Linked DNA regions of Drosophila melanogaster. The protein of the gene in region 2 interacts with the protein of the main gene of each other region in a pairwise test. Each region holds a gene or a part of one and is shown on either strand. Other genes may lie near its edges.

Region 1 (12,734 bases), on a different chromosome or scaffold from region 2:
ATTCTGCACCTTTTCTTGATAAGAAAAATAATTTTACTAGGCGAAAGAGCGTCAATCCGCCATCAATATACAGGGATGCTTTCTCTCGGTCTATCGCCCCGCTGACGGCTATCGATAGTATCGTATGCGATGGGGGAAGGAAGTACCTTATTACGAAAAACTTTATCAAATGTACTTAAATGTTTTTTATTCGAGATTGTTAATAACTCTACTTATCAATTTATTTTTGTTCGCAGATTTAACTTATGAACGAAATGTTAGGTACCAAAGTTGCCGATAAAGTTTTGTTTGACAGTGTCATCTCTAAAAAATTTAAAAACCTTTGTTTACGAAATCTTAACGAAACATAAATATATTTGCGAAAGTATGATAGAGTAGAAATTATTTAAAAGTCTTCTATGTTCTTAATCAAGCGTTACGAAATGTACTTTTAAAACGTCTTTACCGCGCTTTGCAACACTACATACGTGCTATTTCATAATTTTTAATACCATACCTGCAACATTATAGGTTTTAGTTAAATAATTAATAAAGCCCTAAACATGTTAGTGAGAAATATTTGCAAGTTTACGCAAGTTATGGGCAGGTTCCGCGTTGTCGTGAATCCCAGAGATTACTGTCATCTTGCGCCGCTGAAGAGAAGCCGTTATCACCAACGGTCAGAATTCGGATGTCGACCGCTGTGCTCCAATGCTGCGGGCTACGAGGTGTCCTGGGCAGCTCCGCCCGCTTCTGGCTCTTCCGGTGGAATGTTTTGGGCATTTTCCGCTGCTTTCACTCTGAATCTGTTTGGTGGCGCCGACGAAAAAGAGGAAACTCCGGAGGAAAAACTGATCAAGACCATCAAACGATCAATCCTGTGCATTCAGAGGGAACAGTACGACAAGGCCGAGCAAATGCTTCACCTGGCTCTGCGAATGGCGCAGGATATTCAGAGCAAGGACGGCATCACATATGTGTTTGATCTGATGGCCAATTTGGCCATGGAACGCGAGCAGTTTAAGAAGGCGGAGAAGATATTCACGGACGTTATGAAACGGCTTTTTGCCGAGGGTCACACCGAAGAGAGTCCCAAGGTGGGTGACCCACTTAGACACCATAACCAGTTAAGATCTCTTTCATCTTTAGATACTTCACATCAGCTCCAAGATAGCACACATGTCTCAGCTGCAAGGGGATCTGGAAAAGAGCTTTCAAGGGTTCACTTGGACCTTGCAGCAGTTGGCTAAGCTACTGGAGAAAATGCCCGACGACAAGGACATACTGGAGCTGTATGGCTTGACAAAGAATTGGTATTGAAGGTGTTTCCATTGCCGCTAACCAAGCCTTTTTTCAATACTTTTCCTTATGTTTATTTTCCAGGTTCGGGCAGCTGCTGATGAAGCAGGGAAAATACCTGGAGGCTAAAAACCTCTTTAAGGAGGCCTTCGACACGCTCATAAATGTTTATGGTGCCGTTAACGACGCCTCTGTAACCATCCTAAATAACATCAGTGTGGCGTACGTAAACGTAGGTGCGTCTATTCTTCCAAAGTACTTGAAACACATTAGACTAATTACAGCTGGAAAAGTACGCCGAGGCAAGGGAGACCCTTTTGGAGGCCATGGAGCTGACTAAGGAGCTAAAGGATGCCACCCAGGAAGGCATTCTGCAGGCAAATCTGGGTTTGGTGTATCTTCGCGAGGGCCTGATGTCGCAGGCGGAGAACGCTTGCCGACTGGCGTGGAAACTGGGAAAGCAACACCAGAATCCCGATGCCGTAGAGCAGGCCGAGTATTGTCTCAACGAGATAAAGACAACCCTGAATGGAGAGAAGCGCCAGTGAGGATTCTTTTTACAGTGTAATTTTGACTATTTATAAAAATTTCATTTCGAAGTGAAGCACAAATTTGGAAGGCTTAAAAAATCTTAAATAACGCCGCATTGTTTATATTGGGAACTAATAGCGGTTACTGACTGTTGAAATATAAGAAATTTAAGTAGTTGCTCATCGTTTTGAGTAGGTAACGAACAGAAATCTTTCAAATTGTTTGCGGCACACTTTCAGTACATGCAATTAGATCTTTTTTGTGTTAACTTTCCACAATTTTGATATTACTCGAACTTGGCGATAACGATCATTAGGGCTACGCCGGTTAGCAGCGCAAAGATTTCCTTCAGCGACTGTTTCAGTTTCGTAGACTCCTCAAGCAGCTCCGGCAGGACACTCACTGTTGCGATGTAAATAAAACCGCCGGCTGTGAAGGGCAAGACCCATGGGGCCGATCCGTCCCCGCCTCCAGCTCCCAGAAGAGCTAGCGCTGTGCCCGCCAAAGCTCCGAGCGCTGTGACGAGCTGCAGAAGCATTGCCTTTCGCCTGGAACAGCCAGACTTTATAAGAATGGCAAAGTCACCAATCTCATGGGGCACTTCGTGCAGCAGAATAGTGATAGTGGTCACAATGCCAATGCTGTTGCCCGCCAAATAGGAGGCGCCGATGGCCAGGCCATCGGTGAAGTTGTGAGCAAAGTCCGCCGCCAAATTCAAGTAGCCGGAAATCTCCACTTCGCCTTCTGGCTCCGCTTCTGGTTTCTTGGACTTGATCTTGGCTGGCTTTGCCGGTTTGTCTCCATCTCCGCTGTCTTCTTTGTCAGAGGACTTTTTCTTAGCAGGCACTGGTTTTGGCTTTGGTGCTCCATGGCTGTGGCCGTGTCCTCCATGACCGCCCTTTAGAATGCGTACCAGTTTCTCCACTGAAAGGAAGGCAATGATTCCTCCAAGGACCCACAGACCAATGCTCATATCGTGGCTGTGACCATGTTCATGCTCCTCGCCATCATGATGATGATGGTGATCATGGCCGTGATCGTGGCCGTGTTCTCCATGACTGTGTGGATGCGTGGCATGAGGAATCAAGTGCAGAAAGGCATCACCCAACAAACCGCCAGAAGCAAAGGCCAGAAGCACTTTGAGACGCGGCTTCATCGCCTCACTGTTGTCTAGGGGAATGATATACAGCAGCACGAAGGGAGCGGCACTGATAAGAAGAGTTGAGCCGATCGAGTGCAACCAAATGGTGCTCATATCTATAAGAAATTTGGGTCAACTCGGGCATTTTAAGAGTGGTAGTTCGTTGATTACCCAAATCCGGCTTTGCCTTGGTGTGCCTTTCATCGTGCCCGTGATGATGGTGTCCGTGGTCGTGGTCATGATCATGATCGTGCCCGTGATGATGGTGTCCATGATCATGCCCGTGGTCGTGGTCATGATCATGATCGTGCCCGTGGTGGTGGTGTCCATGATCGTGGTCATGATCATGATGATGATGGTGCTCCGCCCGTGGAGCCTTCTGCGGATCGAAGTTTTCGTTGGCTTCCCGCGAGTATTTGAAACTGGGATTGCCCTGGCCGGCGCACAACGCCGGGAGCGAGAAAAGCACTGCTCCCAGGATTACGACCAGTGCCAGCTTTTGGTACAACTGGAGCTTACTGCACTGGTAATCAGCCACTTGTTTGGCCATTTTGTCCTTTACTTTAGTTTCGCGTCGGACTGCGGCCAAAGTGTTGTGACGTGTTTGCTTTTTTTCTGGCTACGTTGTTATCGATTAGCGTGTAAATCTGGAGGTATCGATTGTTTCGCTCAAATAAAAAATAAACTTGTGTATATTTTCAATTATAAGTTGTACTTTGCCGCTTTTGCTTACATTAACTTTTAAACGGAGCTTAAGATCCGACAGCTTGCCAAGTCAATGCTTACAAAAATGCAAAACATTTAAAATTTATGCAGCGTACTGAAAGAAAATAACTTGTTCACACTTTGCCGTTACAACATTTCAGTTTTAAAATCTTTCTAAACTTATTATATATTCAATTTTAAACTAAACCTTTTAAATACCAATACAATTAAAAGTCACCCCAGCATATTCAGAAATAAAGTATCTTTATTTTCTGTAGGCTAACCACCGACATCGATTGAAATTCACTCAATTAAATAATTTTATATTTGTATATTTGCATTTAAATGACTATTAAATATTTGTATGCTTTAGTTAGTTTCCTATGTATTTATCGTTACCAGACATGGTTAAACGGGGCTAATAACTAGACACGAGAAGGTGCACATTAATTTGTTGCGTGTTGCGACGATGCCGATGATGAACCGATTAAAAAAGAACTCGTAAATTTCGTTTGTGATCAATAAATAATAATTTCGATTTGCACATGACACGGCAATGTGAGTGTGTGTTTGTTTTGTGTATGTATATATACAAGCCACTTTGGTTGCTGTTTGAATTGCTGCTGATCCTGCCGCCTTTGCTTTTCTTTCGTTTCCGTTACCGCCGTTCAGTACAGGTTGATCTTCTTGAGTATTGTCTTGCGACACATGTGGCATGTGCGGAGCGTTTCGGCACAATGGGAGCACGCGCCGTGCCCGCACAGGAAGGCCACATCCCTTTTTCGCTCCATGCAAATACCGCAGAAGTGCGACTCCTCAAACTCCAGCACTTTGTTCTCCAGATAGCGAAGTAGATCCCCGGACGGTAGGCGAGTGGGGTCACTAGGTGACGACGTGGACGTGGGCAGGGCCACCACTCGGCCGCTGACCGTCAATCGCCGCTCGATCGCCACGGCACAGCGGAGACACTTTTTCATTCGGATGCCGCACTCCTCGCAGGCGATCTGATGCTGACACGGCTCAAAGCGCACCATCGGCAGGATCTCATTGCACACAATGCACTCATGGGGACCGGGGACGATCACCGGACTGGTACTGGGTCCCGCCGCTCCGGCTTCCAACGCGGTACTGCTCGAGCTAGTGGTAACCGGAGGCTTGGGCGCCTTCTTGCGCGGTGCCACCTGTGGAGAGACGTTTTGCGGTGTTGCGTCGGAGTTCAGTTTCTTTACGCCCGGCGAGGCGGAGGGCGTGGATGGAGATGCTCCAACTCCAATGGCTGGGATATCGTTTGGCTTTGGCATTAGTTCAAATGTCTGGCGCTGCGGTGGTGGGGGTGCTGCAACGCTTCCAGGTCCGGCTCCATTGGATTCAGCTCCAGCAGACGCAGAGCTCTCCTCACCGTCGGCTGATCCTGCGGACACTTCCAAAGCTTGAAGATTCCTAGGCAGCGATTCAGCTTCGCCCTGCTGCCCAAAAATCAGTTGCCTGATGTGGCGGTCCGTTATCCACTCAAAAATGCTTGCATTGGCGTTGTTCAGCTCCACTCGGCAGCCGGCCCTCGAAAGATAGATCAATATACTGTACATCAAACGATCCTCAGGACGAATGCTCGAGTGTACTAGACTCAGGTAAAACTTGTGAATCTCAGGAGCCTCCTCTGGCTGAGGCTCCGCGGCCGACTGCAGATTGGACTTCTTAATGACGCACAAGTGCATCGCATTGTCGCCATCCTCATCCTTGGCATTCACGTCGCAGGAGAGGCGAACGAGTCGCTCGATTACCCCGGCATGGCCCTGGGAGACGGCCAGTAGGAACGGCGTCTGTTGGCGATTATTGCGTATATCTAACTCCGCTTGGCCCTCAGTGACCAGCGTTTCCACAACCTGGGCATGACCGTTAAGGGCTGCCAAATGAAGAGCCGCAAAGCCATCGTCTTTGCGCACATTGACCAGCTGGCGGGAGAGCAACAGGATACGGCGAGCAGCTACCACGTTTCCTTTAAGCGCTGCATGGTGTAGCACGTTAAAGCCGCGATTATTCTTAACCGTAAAGTCCAGATTCGGAGCATTACAAAGCAACTCCACAACTTCCGTATTCTCTTTGCCGATTGCGTCGTGAAGCGCCGTATCCCCGTACGAATCCTGAATGTTTACGTTGGCATTGTGCTGCAGCAACTCACGCACACAGTGCGGCGTTTTCTTGTGCGCGCAGATGTGCAGTGCAGAGCAGTGGCTCGAGTTTAGGAAGTTCACCTCAGCACCGTGCTGCAGCAGCACTCTCATGGTGGCCGGCTGATTGCCGAAGGCTGCGTAGTGCAGAGCTGAATCACCTTCCTTGTCGACCGCATTCACGTTGGCACCCTTGGAGATGAGGTAGCTGACAAGATCGACGTAGCCCTGATGAGAGGCCACCTGAATACAAGCCTTGCCGCCACTCATCACATCCACCTGGCTGGGATTCACGTCCAGGTACTGCCGCACGAAATCCAAATGGCCCTGGGCAGCCTCGCGCACCAGCTTGTCGGCAACCGAACTACCGGAGAGGCCAGAGAGCGGTGTCATTACATGGTCAGCGCGTCGGTGGCTTAGGTCCATCATACTGTTAGAGCGCTCAGCTGCTGTTGCCAAAGGAGAACGCTCTAGTTTGACACATTTCGGATTCAGGGTCCACTCGAAGCCGTCGTCCAACTGCTGGATGCGGAGGTCACCGTCCGAGTACACCTTCACTACCTTGCAAATTTTTCCAAGGGCCTGAAAAACATTTTTTTTAAAGAATACTCTCAAAAAAGATTTAACATAATCTGAATACTCACGTGTCGCATGATTTCTATCCATTCGCCGTGACCCTTCTGCAGCTGCTGCACTTTGTTGGCATCGTTGATGATGGTGACCAGGTCACCGACACGAAAAGAGACAACCTTAACGAGTGCGGCGGGATGAAAGGTCCATCGATTGGGACAGTTTTCATACTGAACACTGTTTGGGTTTCGACTGTGTTAGAAATCCAAATAAAATCAACCAAATTATATATTCTCACCGTATATCCCCCTTGTCCGTGATGCGGTGTACTGTGCCCAGTTTGGACAAATGCTCGACCATGCGCGGATTCCATCCGCCATGGCCCTGCTGCAATTTCATTAGGGCGTCAACCTCTAGGCAAACCTTGACGCGGTCGCCCACGGAAAAGCTTGGCTTCACCATGGGCGCCACCGGCTGCAACTCCTCTGTCTGACCTAGAACAGGCATGTGGTCCTTATAGTAGTGACCACCGCACGTGGCAGTAATGTACTTGAGGTCAACGTTTCCCTTGTGACCTAGACGGTAGACGTTCGTCGATCCGGTTACCCACGCTACGTTGGCCACGCTGCGACACGATTCGTTGTCCCAGCCTCGGATTTCCATTACCCGACCCGTCCTGCCTTCTCCGCCGTCCTGTTCGTTCCACTCCCAGTCAGGACCGCGCACTACTTTGGAACCCACAAAGATGCCTCGCAGCTGGATGCGCTTGGCACCTTTTCTCATGGGCAATCTCACGCCCAGCGAGTTGGGAGTCGTGTAGCGGATAAACGGGTGCTCAATATCGTGCAGATCCTCTGCGTAGCAATAGGCGCATAGGTGATAGTTGGGACACTGGGCGCACTTGAATACTATGCCAGCGATACCCGCCTTGGAACAGCCATCGCAGACAACATTTGAGTGACGAACTCCTGCGAAAAAAGAATTCGAATATAAGACCTTATAAACAATGAACTATAAATAATTGTAATTTGGAAAATTAAAATTAACTAATTGAATAGATTTCTTAAATATCGTCACTTACCAACTTGAGCATTATCTACAATTATCAAGTCGTACTGGTTTTGGTAGCCCACACGGTAGTTGGTCCGGTGTCCGGAATCCCAGTTGACCACGACAGTGTTTTCTGGCGAATGTGTCGATCCGCAACGTCCGATTTCGCAAACGGTTCCAACGTGACCTTCTCCGTCGTCTGTTGCGTAAGCAATGAAACAAAGTCGAGAGTGACGTGATGTGAGTTGGAGAAGCTATAGAGCTATAGAGCTGCCACAAGGATGCTCCTAGGGCTGCATTGTGTGTACATCGGCATCACCATCCCCACATCCACATCCGGTGGATATCAGACATATGCAGAGCGCACACTTCCCCCTCATAAACAACGCGCCGTGACTATAAATACCCATAATCATTGACTCGGGCTCGGGCTCCAAGCGGATTTTTGTTATGCACTCGGACTCGGGCGTGCAGCTGCTCTATAATTACCCCGTATCACGGGTGTGGATGTGGAATCGTTCTCTAGAGGGTGACATTTGATGTTGGCCTGGGGAGGAATGGGAGCACCGATGGCTGGGCTCCCATCTGAAAATTTGTTTATGTCTATTTTCAACACACCCCAGTCGGAGGAATACCAAGGTCCAAAAATAAACTCTCCACATCGTCCCCAAATATCAGGCCGGCTGGAGCTGTGTAACTGCTCGCGATCCCCACCCGTGTAACTAAAAATAAACACTCAAAAAAAGGTTGGAGACAAAATGGCACGCGCCCTAGCGCCTGACATGTGCATATGCATTCGCTGCACAGGCTGGAATAGGGCGACTTGGGGAGGGGGGAACACATACCATGACCTAATCCTAAACGTGTGCAGCTGCTTTAATAGGATCCTTCAATAGGCTTAAACATTACTGCGTTTATTATCAAATTAGGCTTTGGTGATTGGTTTAACTTCCACAAAATGATTCAAATTGTTTTTGAAGTGTATCTGAAGAAATGTTCTCTCTTGGTAATATTCATTTGCAACTATCAAAATGTAATTGAAAATTATAGTGTTCTACATTCCTTTCATTTTTGAGGTTTTGAGTTCTAATCTCTTTTCATGGCACATATAATACAGTCGGTTTATCAAGCTTTCGAAACGATATAAGCCTCATCATCTAATTGTTTGTAATACGTTACGAATTTGTTCCAGCGAAAGACAATTAATTCAATTAAAAACTACGCAATATTATTGTTTGGCGGGCAGCTGCCTACGGACGTATGTATGTGCATATGTATTTACCTGCCACGTAGGGTGGCGTACTATATATGTACGTACCATCGAGAGCCACACATCCCCGCCATATATATGTACATATGTATGTATATGAACCATAAAACGAAGCGACGAAAGCAGAAGCAATTGGTAAGCGCAAGAATTTCACTGCTGCCGCAGTGAGTGTTGCTAAAAATAGCGGGCGCGTCCTCTTTACATTCAACAACGCCCCGAGCAGCAGCAGCGGACACGGACGTACACCTCTCCGTCCCATCCCGTCCCATTGCCCCACACCCCTCCGCACTCGCACACTCTCAACGGACCCTCTACGGGTGCCAATGCCAAGTGAGTTGCGTTTGGCGTATACAGTAAGTATTGGCCACGAAGTGATTCCCTTTATGCCATATATTCATTATTTATCATGTCTTTTCTACATACATATTATAACAAAAATTAAAGTATCAGTAGATTAAATTTGATCAAATATTGATCGATCGTAAGAGGTATAAAAATGTTTATTTAAGATATTGCTTATTATTATTACGCTATCAAATCCAAAATATGCGGATAAAATCAGCTTAATAAATTATAAACATGATTTTTTTTAAGGACAGATATTGGAGTTTAAACAGAAGTAATAATCCCATTGTAAAGCCCTTTTAATCGGAGAACGTATGACTAAGTATGGGTTTTACCGAAATTGAATGCCTAAGTTGGCGACATCCCCACCGCCTAATCTCTACCGTACGCAAATTTCGATCTGAACTATATAACAAAAACACCCGTATCTATAAACAGAGAGCGGATGGCAAGTTAATTCGCCTCTTTGGAGGTGGGTGAAAGTAAACAAGCTGGCCCGTGGCTGCCTGAATGCGTTCTTACCTTGATTCGACCAGATCCAGTTGGGTCCGCGCACCACTCGAATGCCGGGCGGAATGGAGGCTCGCATGGCGTTTGGTTGGCTCAATTTGTGTAATCCGATTCAGCCTGCAAGGAGGATAGCATAAATGTGACATTTGACAATACTCGGGGCACGGCGTTTGATGGGACCTGGCTGATAATTGGGTCAACTAAATGGCGGCCCCGTCAGCGCATGACTCAAAAGGAGAGGAGCATATCGGGGTCATCTCAGAAGTCTTTGTAGGCTCAAGCATGGAAGGGTCTCTATGAGCATGTTTTAAAACATTGCAGTGGCTTAATTCTAAGCAAGAAATTGTACTCTTCACAAAATACTTAAGCAGAATTAAAATTTTCTAGAGATTTCTGTATTAAAACTCTTGAGATTTCTTTGTTAACCCTTCGCATCATTTATGGGGTGTCGGGGGAGGAAATGCCATTCAAATGCCAGATATGTTTCCCGATCGCCAGCGCTTCGGTTTCTGGCAGTCCGAGGTTTTGTGGTGTGGGTGCAGCCCAGAAGCTCGCATGACGCATGCCGATAAGACGGATATATGTATATATGCACCGTCTGAACCTCCGATTTCAATTTCGATACGGATTTCTCATCGTCCCGCTGACAAAAGCCAAGTGCCTGTGACTTCTTGGTCAAGCAGCGAAGTCATTCAAGGAATCGACCCGCATGTGTTGTTTACGAAAGTCCAAGCACACACTCACACTCACGCCCGTTTTGCCATCGCACACATATATATACGTATGTGTATATATTTTACAAATATATACTTATGCAAAATTGAGTATGTGAAAAGCGATTATTGGGGGCTTGGTTTGGATTTTTTTTTGGGCTTACCAATGCAATTTGTGATACTGTCGCTTAGCTCCAGCTGTTCGCAATGAAAAACTTAAAGTTCTCAAGCCTTTAATGGTGCATTTTATACGCGCGTGCGCTTTTTAATGGGCATTTAGTGTTTCCTTTCGCTAAAATGCAGTGACACCGTTGCTCTGGTTGCCAAAAAGGGCATAGTTCACTCGCACGCGATCTAATTTCCGCACTATTTAACACACAGATACCGCACTTATGGTCAATTTCGCCTGGACATTACAATTTTTTAGTTAAATGGCCAAAATTCACTATTTCGCTAGAACTATTAAATAAAACTACAATTTAGTGTGCTTCTTCTTTCTATCTAGAGACGGCCGTGCAATATGACATCTATTCGATAGTGATCGATAACACCTAGGGAAAACGATGACTGGAGGAGATATACCAGCTATAAAGAACACATGTTATTATTTTATTTTTGGCAGTCCATAAATTTACATAGTTGTCAATCGCGGAGTGATTACTTATTTGTATTCATGTTCGGTAGCGTGTGATGAAAAGAGCGGCCGAAATGGACGAATTGACGTATCAGACAGCTGTAAAAAAGGGTACGCTTCTATGATATAACTACTGAGAGGTAAACAAATAAATATTGTATTTTTTAGCCCAACTGGTTGAGAGGAATCCCCAGTTGCAGATAAACCCCATGCGTGTGTCCATGCACCAGGAGGAGGATATCATCGAATTGGCCCAACAAATTCAGAATGCTGATAAACAATTGAAAAACACAACTTGCCAAAAGCTGGGGGTCATAATGGAGCAGGTAAGCTATACTCCTCTTTAACAATTATAATACAAACTAATAAATCTTTCATAGATCAAAATGCTTCAGGCCCAAGCGATGGAGATACTTAAGGAGTCCACTCTCAACCGAGATCTGCACAGTGCGGCCTGCAATTTCACCAAAAAACCCGGACACATCTATCATCTTTATCAAAGGCCATCGGGTCAAAACTATTTCAGCATGCTATCACCGGAAGTACGTTTTGTTTGAAAATAATTCTAAAATCGCATTATTAATGGATGTACACTTTCAGGAATGGAGTCTCTCCGTTGACCAAACATTCAAAGGCAGCTACAGGTTGGAGTACGATTTGAGCTGGACCCCACTGGACAAGATTAAGGAGCAGGATGAGAAGCTAAAGTGGGCGGAGCAGTGCATGCTAAAGGCACTAGATGGTGGGCGTGGTTCGGCCATGGCAATTGACTTTAATATAAGCAATGATTGACAGAATATATTAAAAATTATTTTTATTAACATGAGGTTGTACCCAAACTTCGATGTTACTGATATTAAAATTATAAAAGCTCTAGGGTAAAATGTATTAATTTTAATTTAAATATTAACATTTATATTTTTATAAACATACATATTTAATTCCTGTTTAATTTTGTAAACATGATAAATAATAAATAACGATATTTTCTATCGATAGAGAAAGTGCATCTCAATGGCTTTCGATAGCTGTCGTGCAGTTCGATGTATGTTTTGGTTTTTAGTGCAACAGCTGAGAGCTCTTTTTTTGTGAAATTGTGCATATTTTTAGTTTGTTTTGTTTCGTTTAGCGTTTCGTTCACACCTGCAACATGTCCGCGCCCAAGAACGAGATGTACTATAGCTTGCTGGAGTGGTTCAAGACCCTCAATCTAAATGCCCCGCATGCGGATGCGGAATCCTTAGCTGACGGAGTGGCACTGGCTCAGGTAACTATATATACATATATAGTTCATCAATATTTAATAGCTCCTTTATTCACAGGCTCTTAACCAGTTCGCCCCCGAATCCTTCACCGACGCTTGGCTTTCCAAGATCAAGGCCAGTGCCGTGGGCAGCAACTGGCGATTGCGGATGAGCAATCTTAAAAAGGTGACCCAGTCCGTGTACGACTACTACAGCGACGTACTGAACTACTCGCTGAGTGATTTCTCGAAGCCTGATCTGCAGAGGATCGCTGAGAAGTGCGACTTGGGAGAGCTGGAGCGTCTGCTGCAGTTGGTCCTTGGTTGCGCCGTGAACTGTGCAGAGAAGCAGTCCTACATCACAGAGATCATGTGTCTGGAGGAGGAACTGCAAGCAAACATTATGCGCGCCCTTCAGGAACTTGAGGCCACTAGGCAAGCATCCACGCCGGAGGGCGGTGTAGCCAGTTCCTTGTCCCGTGGCTCTCGCACAGGACTCCTGGACAGCAAGGCAGTTCAGGAGGATCGCGACGCCCTGGCACAAAAATGCTTCGAGACGGAAAAGAAAATGCTCCT
Region 2 (9,721 bases):
GATTCTCAATGCTAAACGCGCAGCATGATTCACTCTTCAACAAATACCAACAAATATTTGCATTAAACGTTTCACTTTTATGATGTTTACCATATCCATGAAAATAAAAATGCGAACTGTATAAATCAGCTGATAAATATTCATTTCTTTGGCATATTTGAATTCCCTGTTCGTTTTATATCGTTGAATAAATATGACTTTTTTTGTAAATAAAACCCATGTTTGGTTATTTGTATTCAAAAGAGGCTTGAATATTTGAAATAATTCGAATGAAATTGATTGATTTTAAGTAGGGATATGTTTAAGACAAACCATCATCAGCACTCGTAAGAAACTTATGTTTAATAGTCCATCTGATTGACATATAATTCATCAAGTAATCGACCACAAGCAAGCAGCACATATTCCGAGTAAATTTGTGTGTGTGGCAATAAATCATATATTTAAATCAGCTTCCATTGCACAATTTCATAAGCTACTTGCAACATTTTTTCAGCACTCTGCAATAGCTTTCTCACATTTGGAAAAGGGATCATTGCTGGCCGCAGTTGAGATTTTAATAATAAAAATGACACACATTTCGTATTAAGAGGGAAGAAAAGCAGGCAGCAGCCGCGTATATGAAGTATAGTATAAATATAAATACGATTTCGCCGTTGCTGGCAATATGCATCGCGTATACGCCGCGTGTGTCGCGCACAAAAACGCGCACCAATGCGCACTTCCTGCTCGTAAATAAACTGAGAGTGTGGGCGGATGAGGATATAGCCATGGAATCGGTACCGTGATGTCCATGATGCCCACCGCTAATTGTCGTGCGCCTGTTTGCCATTATTGTCGTGTTTGGCTCGGTTTGGTTTCGGATATTTAAAGCATCCATTTAATGCGGCCAAAAGTTCACAATGAAGCTATCGCAAAAAGTGGATATATGTATGAGCTTATGGACATATGCGAACAAAGTGCAATTAACTGGAAAATGCGCTTAAAATCAAATTGAATAGAAATTCTGTCGTTCTCGCAAATTGTGCGTGGTAAATAAAGGCAAAACTGGTGGTCCTATTAGAAAGTGTAGGTCCTTTTTCTGGTTTCGAGCGAAGTGCACTGTGTGTGTGTGTGTGTGTGTGTGTGGCGAAACTAATTTAGCCATTGCATTTGTGAATCGCTGCTGAAAGGATTAAAATGAATAGCGAACGCTGCTCGCCAGCATAATGAAAGCCACCAGAAGGCGGCATAACTACCAAAATCCAACCACCCCGTTTTACATTTTCATTTAAAGGGTGGGTAGGTCATTCAGCTGGGTCCGTTAATACATATATACACTTATACGCATACATATTTATGTGTATATATAGTGGTGAATGCATTCGCGGGCTGTGTGAGCGATTTTCAGAAATACCAAACCAATTATCCGTGAAAATGTTAAATGCTCTTGAAGCTGAAATCTGTGTTTTCTGGTTTCCTTTGAATTTCCCCACGGCTCTTTGCTTTCATTCAAACGCCAAATTGACGGCGACAGTTGTTCAATGTTTTGTTTACAGAAAAAAGAGCACGAGAAAATCATTAACCTTGGCGGGGGTTAAAATTAAGTCGAGTTATGCGGCAGGAAACAGTAAATGGCGAACGGGAAACGGAAACGAATCACTTGACCCTGGGAGAGTTTTTTGCCAAATGTGAAAAACTAAAATGGGTCAAACTTTTCGCGCTGCTGACAGTTGGTGACAGAAAATCATCAACGCAAAGCACTGAAAATTGAAATCAACACAACTAAATTGAAATGAATTCGATGAAATTTGGGTCAGCCAAAACTGAGCAGAAATCACCAACCAAAAAAAAAAAAAATTGAAATACATAGAAACCTCACCAACTTACCAATTGAAATGGGAAACTATTTGGCAATCCTTGCTGTTGCTGTCAAAGCGGCACTCGAAGGCAATCATAAAATGCAATTGGTTTTGGCAATGCGAGAATCCTTATAATTCAGTCCTTTTCAACTCGTTTTTGGGCACTTTCATTTAATGAGTACAATCGATTTCCGTTCGCCTTACTTTAATTTCAATATATCTAATTCGGTACGGTGTCGTTTAGATTTTTTTCTTATATTTTTTTTCAGTTTTTGCTGGGCAACACGCCTAGTAGAATTCGATTGGAAATGTAAAAAGCGACTGATGGCAAGTGAAAATTGCCAAGCACACGAGCTGAGCAACAGTCTACAATATTTTAAATATATATACAATCCGCGGCATTCTCTCCCGATTTCGCTGTGTATCTGCAGATATATACCGTCTATATATCGCCAGAGAGCGAAACAAAACAAAATGCGCGATCGTCAGACACAAACGCAAAAATATATTCTTGGCATCGTGCGTATGTATCTTTATCTACAGTTTGGCTGCAGCGCCATTAATAAGATACAAAGATACAAATGAGTACTTCGCACTGCATGTTACTTCCAAATGGAGTTCCCATTTCTCGCCTCGAACCTGGACATCGGCTACTTATTGGATTAACCGAAAAGATTTTCCTCCATTTAGTACGAATACATGCACGCACACTCTTGACGTCATCAACTGAGCTGATTTTCTCATTCGGACGCACGCCGGCATTTTCCATCTATATCTCATTGCTGGGCTATTTGTGTGCTTTTGTGTATCTCGCTGTAACGGGCCCTAAAAATAAATTTCATTGAAAATTGGAGCGAACATCGCTCGAATTCGCTGTTCCGTCAAACTAGTGGAACATTTCTCTGTGCCAAGTGAAAAGTTTCTACTTCCATTAGAAGTTTTCCCTTAACTTAAGTAGCAGTAAACCATTAGTTTGCTGCAATACGAACTAAAATTTCATATTCCATTCAAAAAGTTGTCCCTAAAAGTTACAATTAAGCTTTTTCTCAAACATGTTCAAAATATCTATCTGTATCTATTAACTACATATAATTGCATTCGGTAAGTAAGTAGGTTAAGTTCCCTACACAAACATTTGTTACTTTTACCAAAATAATTCTATCCAGTTTCGCAGTTTTTTTTTCTGTGCATGCTTCTCAAGGTCAGAACTTCGCTCCTCTAGCTCTGTATATATCATTCTATCTCCCTATGGGAATATGCCGAAAATAGAACTCACTAGCCCGGAATTCACAGACTGCAGTCTGCACTCCTAGGCCAAAAAGAAAAACAAATAAAGAAATGAAAACTGCACTGTATTTTTGGGCTATAAATAAACGGAGCAGACGGGAGAAGCAGATGCAATCGAAACTTTTTGAAATTTTAGCTGCACTCCCAAAGGAATACTATAGAAACTACAAAGTATTGTGACGTTCCAATTTCAGCGGTGATAACTTACGTTTCCAAGTGTTGTTTTCTTCTTATTGTCTACTTGGGTATCCGAGGCGCCCTTGAAAGGGGCCTGTTCCTTTGGCTGTTAACTCTGCTGGCTGAAATTAAAAAGAAAATATATTAAATTTAGAGCCAAAGGCAATTGTGAGTGAATTGTGGGGAGTGAGGGTCGAGTAGCCATTTACCTGGCCATTAACACGCTGCGCATAAGCCGCATCATGCCAACTTAATTATACGGCCTCAAAGGCTGCGGCACGCAAAACAATGATGAAGGCGGGTGGTGAAAGTTGGAATTCATTGGATGGCATGGGATTGGATGGGATTGGATAGTATTGAATGGGATTCGATTGGGCGCGGTTGACAGTCGAAGATAATGAAGTTCGGAATGCGCTTAAGGTTCGCTTATTGTGCACTGCGACAGATAAGCTCCTCGGTGGGCCACACACTCTTGACCAGGTTAATGAATAATCAGCTGGGGTCGAGCATATGGCTGCGAAGGTAGATCTTTTTAATTAACTTGCCGTGGCCGAGTTCCTTTCGACCAAAGGAAACAATTAAACAATGGAAAACCAATTTCCGAAACTATAATAACATGATTACATCGGCGGTCTTTTGAGCATCGAACGCGTAAAGGGAATTTAATAGAAATTAATTGTTCACACAATTGCATTGATATCCCTTATAATTAATTTTCTTTAATGAGCACAATTCGGAGCTTCATTGCGTTACTAAAATGATACAGTAAAATGTGGCATGAAAAATTATACATCAATTCATACATTTTATGATGATTTCGTTTTTAGTATTATTGCAGATTGGTTTTATTTGCAATCACTAAGCTTTTGAATATAGCAATATTTAAACATAATACAGATTTCAGCAACCAACAAGTTGACTTAAAACAAGTGACTTAAAAACTTCAATAGCTCGGAAACATTTGGAATATTTTTCCATATTAGATTTTGGTAATATAAATGCTATTTGTCTGTTGAAACAAAAACTTTTCAACAAAAAGGTGTACAACTTTATGTAGTTTTTAAAATACCTTTAAATGAATGGATAAAGAAAATGAGACAACACTAAGAAATCATAAGCAATACATTTACTTTAAAGTTGCCAACGCGCTACTTTCGAGCAGTTTTTAATTTAAGTTGCAAAAGTGGCCAGTAAATTCGAATCAAAACTAGTTTAGGTGGATATCTATTGCCAGCGTGCTGCAATGGCACTTCTTTAATGCTGCCAGCGACCTTGAACTTCCGCCCAGCTGAAGCACACTCGAAAAGAGCGGAGGAGGGATGGGGTTGGAGGGCAGATGAAGTGAATTGAAAAGAGGCGAGTGCTCGCAATAAAGCTAAAAGGAAAACTGGAAAAAACTGTTGCCTACTTTCCGGCGGCACATAAATTTAAACCGCACACGCCTCTCTCACTTAATCTTCCGTATTATTTTTATTTTTATATTTCGAAACGAGAAATTAATTGTTTTGTGTGAGAGGTGTGAATATAAAAATAAATACGAGAAAGCCCACCACAAACATTCCAAATGGATGGCGAGAATGGGAGAAGGAACAAGCAAAAGCAAAACCGAAACCGAAACAAAAGCAAACAAAGCAATCAATGATAAGCGAGCAGCGGGCAAAAGACAAACACAAACAACAGAAATGGAAATAGAAAATCTCTGAAAATGTCGCTGATTGAATCGAACTAAAAATAAGGCAGCAACACGGCGTATGAGCAATGTGCGTCTCTGTGTGCGTGCCTGTGTGTGTGAGTGTGGGCAAATTATTGCCATGCTTTCTGATGAGATATGCACACACACACACACACACACACACACGTAATATAGCGTATAACAGATCCTCATCAACATATATTTGTATACATGATTATGTCAAAATTTGTTAATAAATTTTGAACGCGAAGCCGAAGGAGATGAAAATAATTTTGACAGCTTTTCACGAATGTGGGAGTGTGCACACGGTGGGATGTTGAGAAAGCGCAATTTTCAGCCAGGTGACATTTTCCCAAGCTCCTTCTCTCGCCGAGATTCTCACGCCTTTCGCCGTTTTCTCTCTTCTTTTTTTTACATAATCAGCAGCCATTGAATGCGTCGAGCTCATCTCCATTTGAATGCGTTTCCAAAAACGAGCTTAAAATCAGGACGTATCCACCCCGTTCGACTCACTTGCGTTGGCTTCCTCTATTTCCTGATGCTTCGCGAAACTTTTGCAAATTTATTCGCATGCCTTGGCGGCACAAGGACTTTCACTGACTTCACTTTCAAACTGAGGTACGATGTATTACCGCCTTGGCTCAAACCAACACTCGCGTCGCGATTACTGGTGCTTTTGGACGCACCCTCACGCACTGCGCGACAGGTGAAAGATCTTTGGGTAGATCTTTGCACCCCTCTATATACACTTAATAGATATATATATATGGATATAGGTGGTTGGGAATCGAACTGGGCTATAGCTATTATCGGCGTATCGGTCCGCACGTCCACTCGCGAGCGTGCCAGAAATGAAAATGAATGTTTTTCTCTGCTCGACTCTCGAACGCTTGATGATCAGCCGTTCTTGAGGTGAAATTTTATAAATATAACCTGAGGCAACAACAAAAGTGCCACAAATATTTCTGCGTCTTCTTCCCACTTTCACGTAGCACTTTTGTTGTTTCCCAGCTTCACCCGACCCCAACGAACCTGTGCAAGAATTATATACATATATACATATAATATAATATATGTACCATAATTGTCTGTAAGAATTCCTCTCGCTTTTTACAATGTCGCGCAGAAAGTCCAAGAGCGACAATATATTGTTCAATACGTATTCTTACCTGTTATTGTTCTGGCTTATTTCGCAGTTATTAGAGTGAGATTTTCACTTTTCTTTAGTCCAGCGGAAAGAAAAGCTGAGGAAAAGATCGACGCCCACGCATTTATCTGGCAGAATGATTCATTTTCGAATTTTTTTAAATATTTATAGAAATATTGATACTTATATAGAATAAGGAAATTGATGTCTTAGCAAATATCGCGCGAGTTTTATGTAGTTATAGAATTCAGCATAATTAAAAGTGTTAACAGAAAGACAAATGATTTAGAGATAGGTAGGTTTTTTACTCTAGACATCATAATAAAATATATACGCTTAAGATTTGTCATTGAATTATTAATATTTATTTCATCTTAATTTATTAAGTTCTGTTTCTAAGCACTTGTTTACGTAATATATATTAATAATATGCCTAAGAAGATCAACATTTGTTACTATGTTGTCTTAAATCATTTAGTTCTTTAATATTACTTATTTTTCGCTTATTATTCTATAAATACCAAATTCCTCTCCGTCATCACATGCAGTATGATTGGTCTGCATTTAGCCATCCTCGCCAGACATTCGGTCTTTTGTTCGGTCATTTGCTTGTCCCACATGACATCTTGTCAATAGGCTGATGAATCGGGTTAGCCGTTAATATATTTTCGGAAAAAATAGCGAGCTAAAACAAAGCCGCAGCCGCAGTCAAAACAAAAACAAACCGAAAAAATGCGAATTATGAGCGGGCCAAAACAAAGATGTCAACACGTTCGCCAAGGCAGCTCAAGTTGTTGACGGACTCTAGGTCAGTCCCACTGACAACGCCATAGCCACAGCTATATCCTCTATTACACGCTGAGAAAAAGTTACTAAAATGGTAACCAAATGTATTTTTTGAATATATATAACATACATAATTAGGTTTCGAACAGCATCTCTTCATCAATATAATATTTTGATGTCACTAATAAAAAGTTAAAGTGTGTGCCCCTCCTATTCGATGCTGATATAACGAAAATTATTAATTAACGATGTTCCTTTGAAAGTAATTAATTTATCAAACTGCTTTCCAAGAATTAACTAAGGATTCGTATATTTTCCATGTGCATGAGAATCACCGCTGGATTTGTGCGCAGTTGCTGGTTCTCGTGAAATTGAAATTGCGTATTGCGGACATTGCATTGTGAACACTGCAACAAGGCTATCGGAACGGCGACAATTGTATAGCACGAGTTAAGACCCATTTCCATTAGCGGAGCGTCCGAAATAGTGGCATCTATTCATTCCCAGCATATTTGAGAGCAACTCATTAGGCCCGAGCCATGATTAATTAGAACTGATGGATGGCCAATTGACGAATGGAAGGCATGGCTGCGGCGATGCGAGCCAGGAGCCAGCAGCCAGGACGCATTATTGATGGACACGTATGCTGGGAATCCGGAACCTCCAGTGAAAGCCACTCGACCAGGGGACACTTGGCATTGCCAGCCAGCGCCTCGTCCTAATTGCCCAAGAAAGGGCAGCCAATTCAGTCAACGCAGGAGCAACATGGTAAAGTAGCAATAATTACGAATTAGCAGACAATTTCAAGTATTAGCCAAGTCCAACTTACTAAGAGGGTGGTCGCAAAAGTTGCTAGTTGATTGGTATTTTACAGCAAAGTTTAATTGAAATCGGCCAGGGATTATGGCCCTGAAAATAAGCTTAGTTCAAGGGCTTTTGAAGTAAGCTAATCCATTTTGTTTTACAAAGAAAATAGCTACCAAGCTTATCTCTTTTCCTTGCAATAAGCTGTATTAAATTGATAAATTTAAAGGAGAGTCAAAAAAATATACCCAATATTGAAATTGATTCTTAAGCTTGAATTCCTGGGGGATTAAAATTTCAATTGAATTATGGAGAGTTAATTTGTGGAAAATCCATTTTCTAGGAATTTAAGCTTTTTTGCCAATGGATTCGCTTTCAGAGAAATCCCTTGTATATGTTTAAACTCGTTATGAACTGCTTAATTTTTCTTTAATTGATGCATATTTTCTATAAACTAAAGCATATTGACATTAAAGCTTTCCGCGAAATAATAATTGATTCAAATTGTTAAGCTTGAATTAGTGTGAAATTTACATTCTGTAAATTTATGCTACATTTTTCCAACCGTTTTCCGCTCAGAAAAATTCCTGTATAATGTTAAACACACATATTTAAACGCTTAAGCTTTAAGGGTACAATTTAATTTAACTATTAAAAATATTCTAGGCATTAAGCTTTTCAAGAATATTTAAAGCCATTTCATTATTTATTTTGCTTCCAACACGTTACTAAAAGATAAAAATTACTAAGTGGTTCCGGATTAAGAAACTGGCTAAGCACACCTCCACAAAGATATGTCCAACAGCAGGGGGCCCCCGAAAACAAACTATTTCCAGTCAGACAAATGGCGTTAAGCACATAATAACCAATTTCTCTAAATACGGCCATAATTATGAACGCCTACACACACTCTTACATCCAAAGAGTCCTGGCAAACACAAACTCACACACTCACACGCGAATGATCCTTGTGAAGTGGCGCTGCTGTTGTTCTTCTTGTTTCTGCCTACTTCATTTGGGCGCGCTTGTTCTCGAGACTCGAGAGTGAAAGTGAGAGCGGGAAAGGGAAAGCGAAAGTGAATGTGAAAGGCATAGGATGGGGTGAAAGTTGGTAAGTGAGAACGGGCAAGGGCAAGGATTTATCGTAATTAGGCATGCATGAGCATATGCTGTCGTCTAAGCTCAAGGATGACTCTCATCCTCCGCGATATTTTGTCGTGCAGTGCAAGAAATTTAATACCAATCGATCTTATATTTCCACAGTTTTAATAACTTATGATTTGAAAAATCTAAGGGACAAAAAAATGTTGTTTTTTTTTATTTTAAAATAGCTGTAGTACTTTTTTTTTTTAGTTTTATGATTTCCTTCATAAATAAGTGTACATGGTTGGCAAAATATTTCCCCCATTCAATGTCACCAATAAATTTTAGATAACTGAATCAATTGTATGCAGTTATTTATGAGTAACAATTATCGCAATTAAACCTTCATACTTAAATTTAATATATGTTTTGTTGCTATAAAGGCTGACTCAATTACAATATAATATGGCCAATTATTTTCCCTCTGTGTGCACAAACACAGACTTGGGCAAACAGCAAGGAAAGGGGCGAGAAAATGGTGGGAGTGATGGTGGGAAAAAGGGAAAAAGCGGCCCCAATGTACATAATTAATTGTGCTGCTGTGTTGGCAAACACGCGGGCGCCGGAAAGTAGGCAACACGCTTTTTTTGGCAAAACGGTTCGCCGTAATTGATTGCCTCATGCACGTCACACAACCACACACACACTAACGCATATACACACATATTGAGAAGCCAAAGCGGTGTGTCAATGTGTGTGAGGGTGTGCAATTTCCGGCGGAGCTACAAGTATTTTGAAATGAATATTTCTTTAATTAGTCCGCTGCTGGCACTGCCATTTGCTGCGGCTTCAAAGGGGTTTGGATATTCTAAAAGGCCAAGCCACAAAAGACTTGACCGCAAA

Evidence for each region.
Region 1: the proteins of tn (region 2) and mib2 interact in a two-hybrid assay, tested with the Drosophila melanogaster proteins (one study listed by BioGRID).

Annotation. Positions count from the first base shown.
Region 1 is NT_033779.5:19,032,712-19,045,445, reverse strand, and holds mib2 (mind bomb 2), read right to left. Parts: upstream 10,990-12,734; 5' UTR 10,446-10,989; intron 9,947-10,445; exon of another isoform or gene 9,749-9,946; intron 9,686-9,748; 5' UTR 9,648-9,685; coding exon 9,581-9,647; intron 7,643-9,580; coding exon 7,475-7,642; intron 7,362-7,474; coding exon 6,692-7,361; intron 6,631-6,691; coding exon 6,468-6,630; intron 6,406-6,467; coding exon 4,324-6,405; 3' UTR 3,905-4,323; downstream 1-3,904. Other genes in the region: Ttc19 (tetratricopeptide repeat domain 19), read left to right, coding at 543-1,076, 1,129-1,292, 1,363-1,510, 1,563-1,826; Catsup (catecholamines up), read right to left, coding at 2,096-3,066, 3,122-3,500; CG31800 (uncharacterized protein), read left to right, coding at 10,990-11,026, 11,084-11,241, 11,296-11,457, 11,516-11,707; hook, read left to right, coding at 12,066-12,182, 12,238-12,734.
Region 2 is NT_033778.4:18,983,482-18,993,202, reverse strand, and holds the start of tn (thin), read right to left. Parts: upstream 5,860-9,721; 5' UTR 5,512-5,859; intron 3,820-5,511; exon of another isoform or gene 3,515-3,819; intron 3,428-3,514; 5' UTR 3,337-3,427; intron 2,167-3,336; exon of another isoform or gene 1,870-2,166; intron 1-1,869.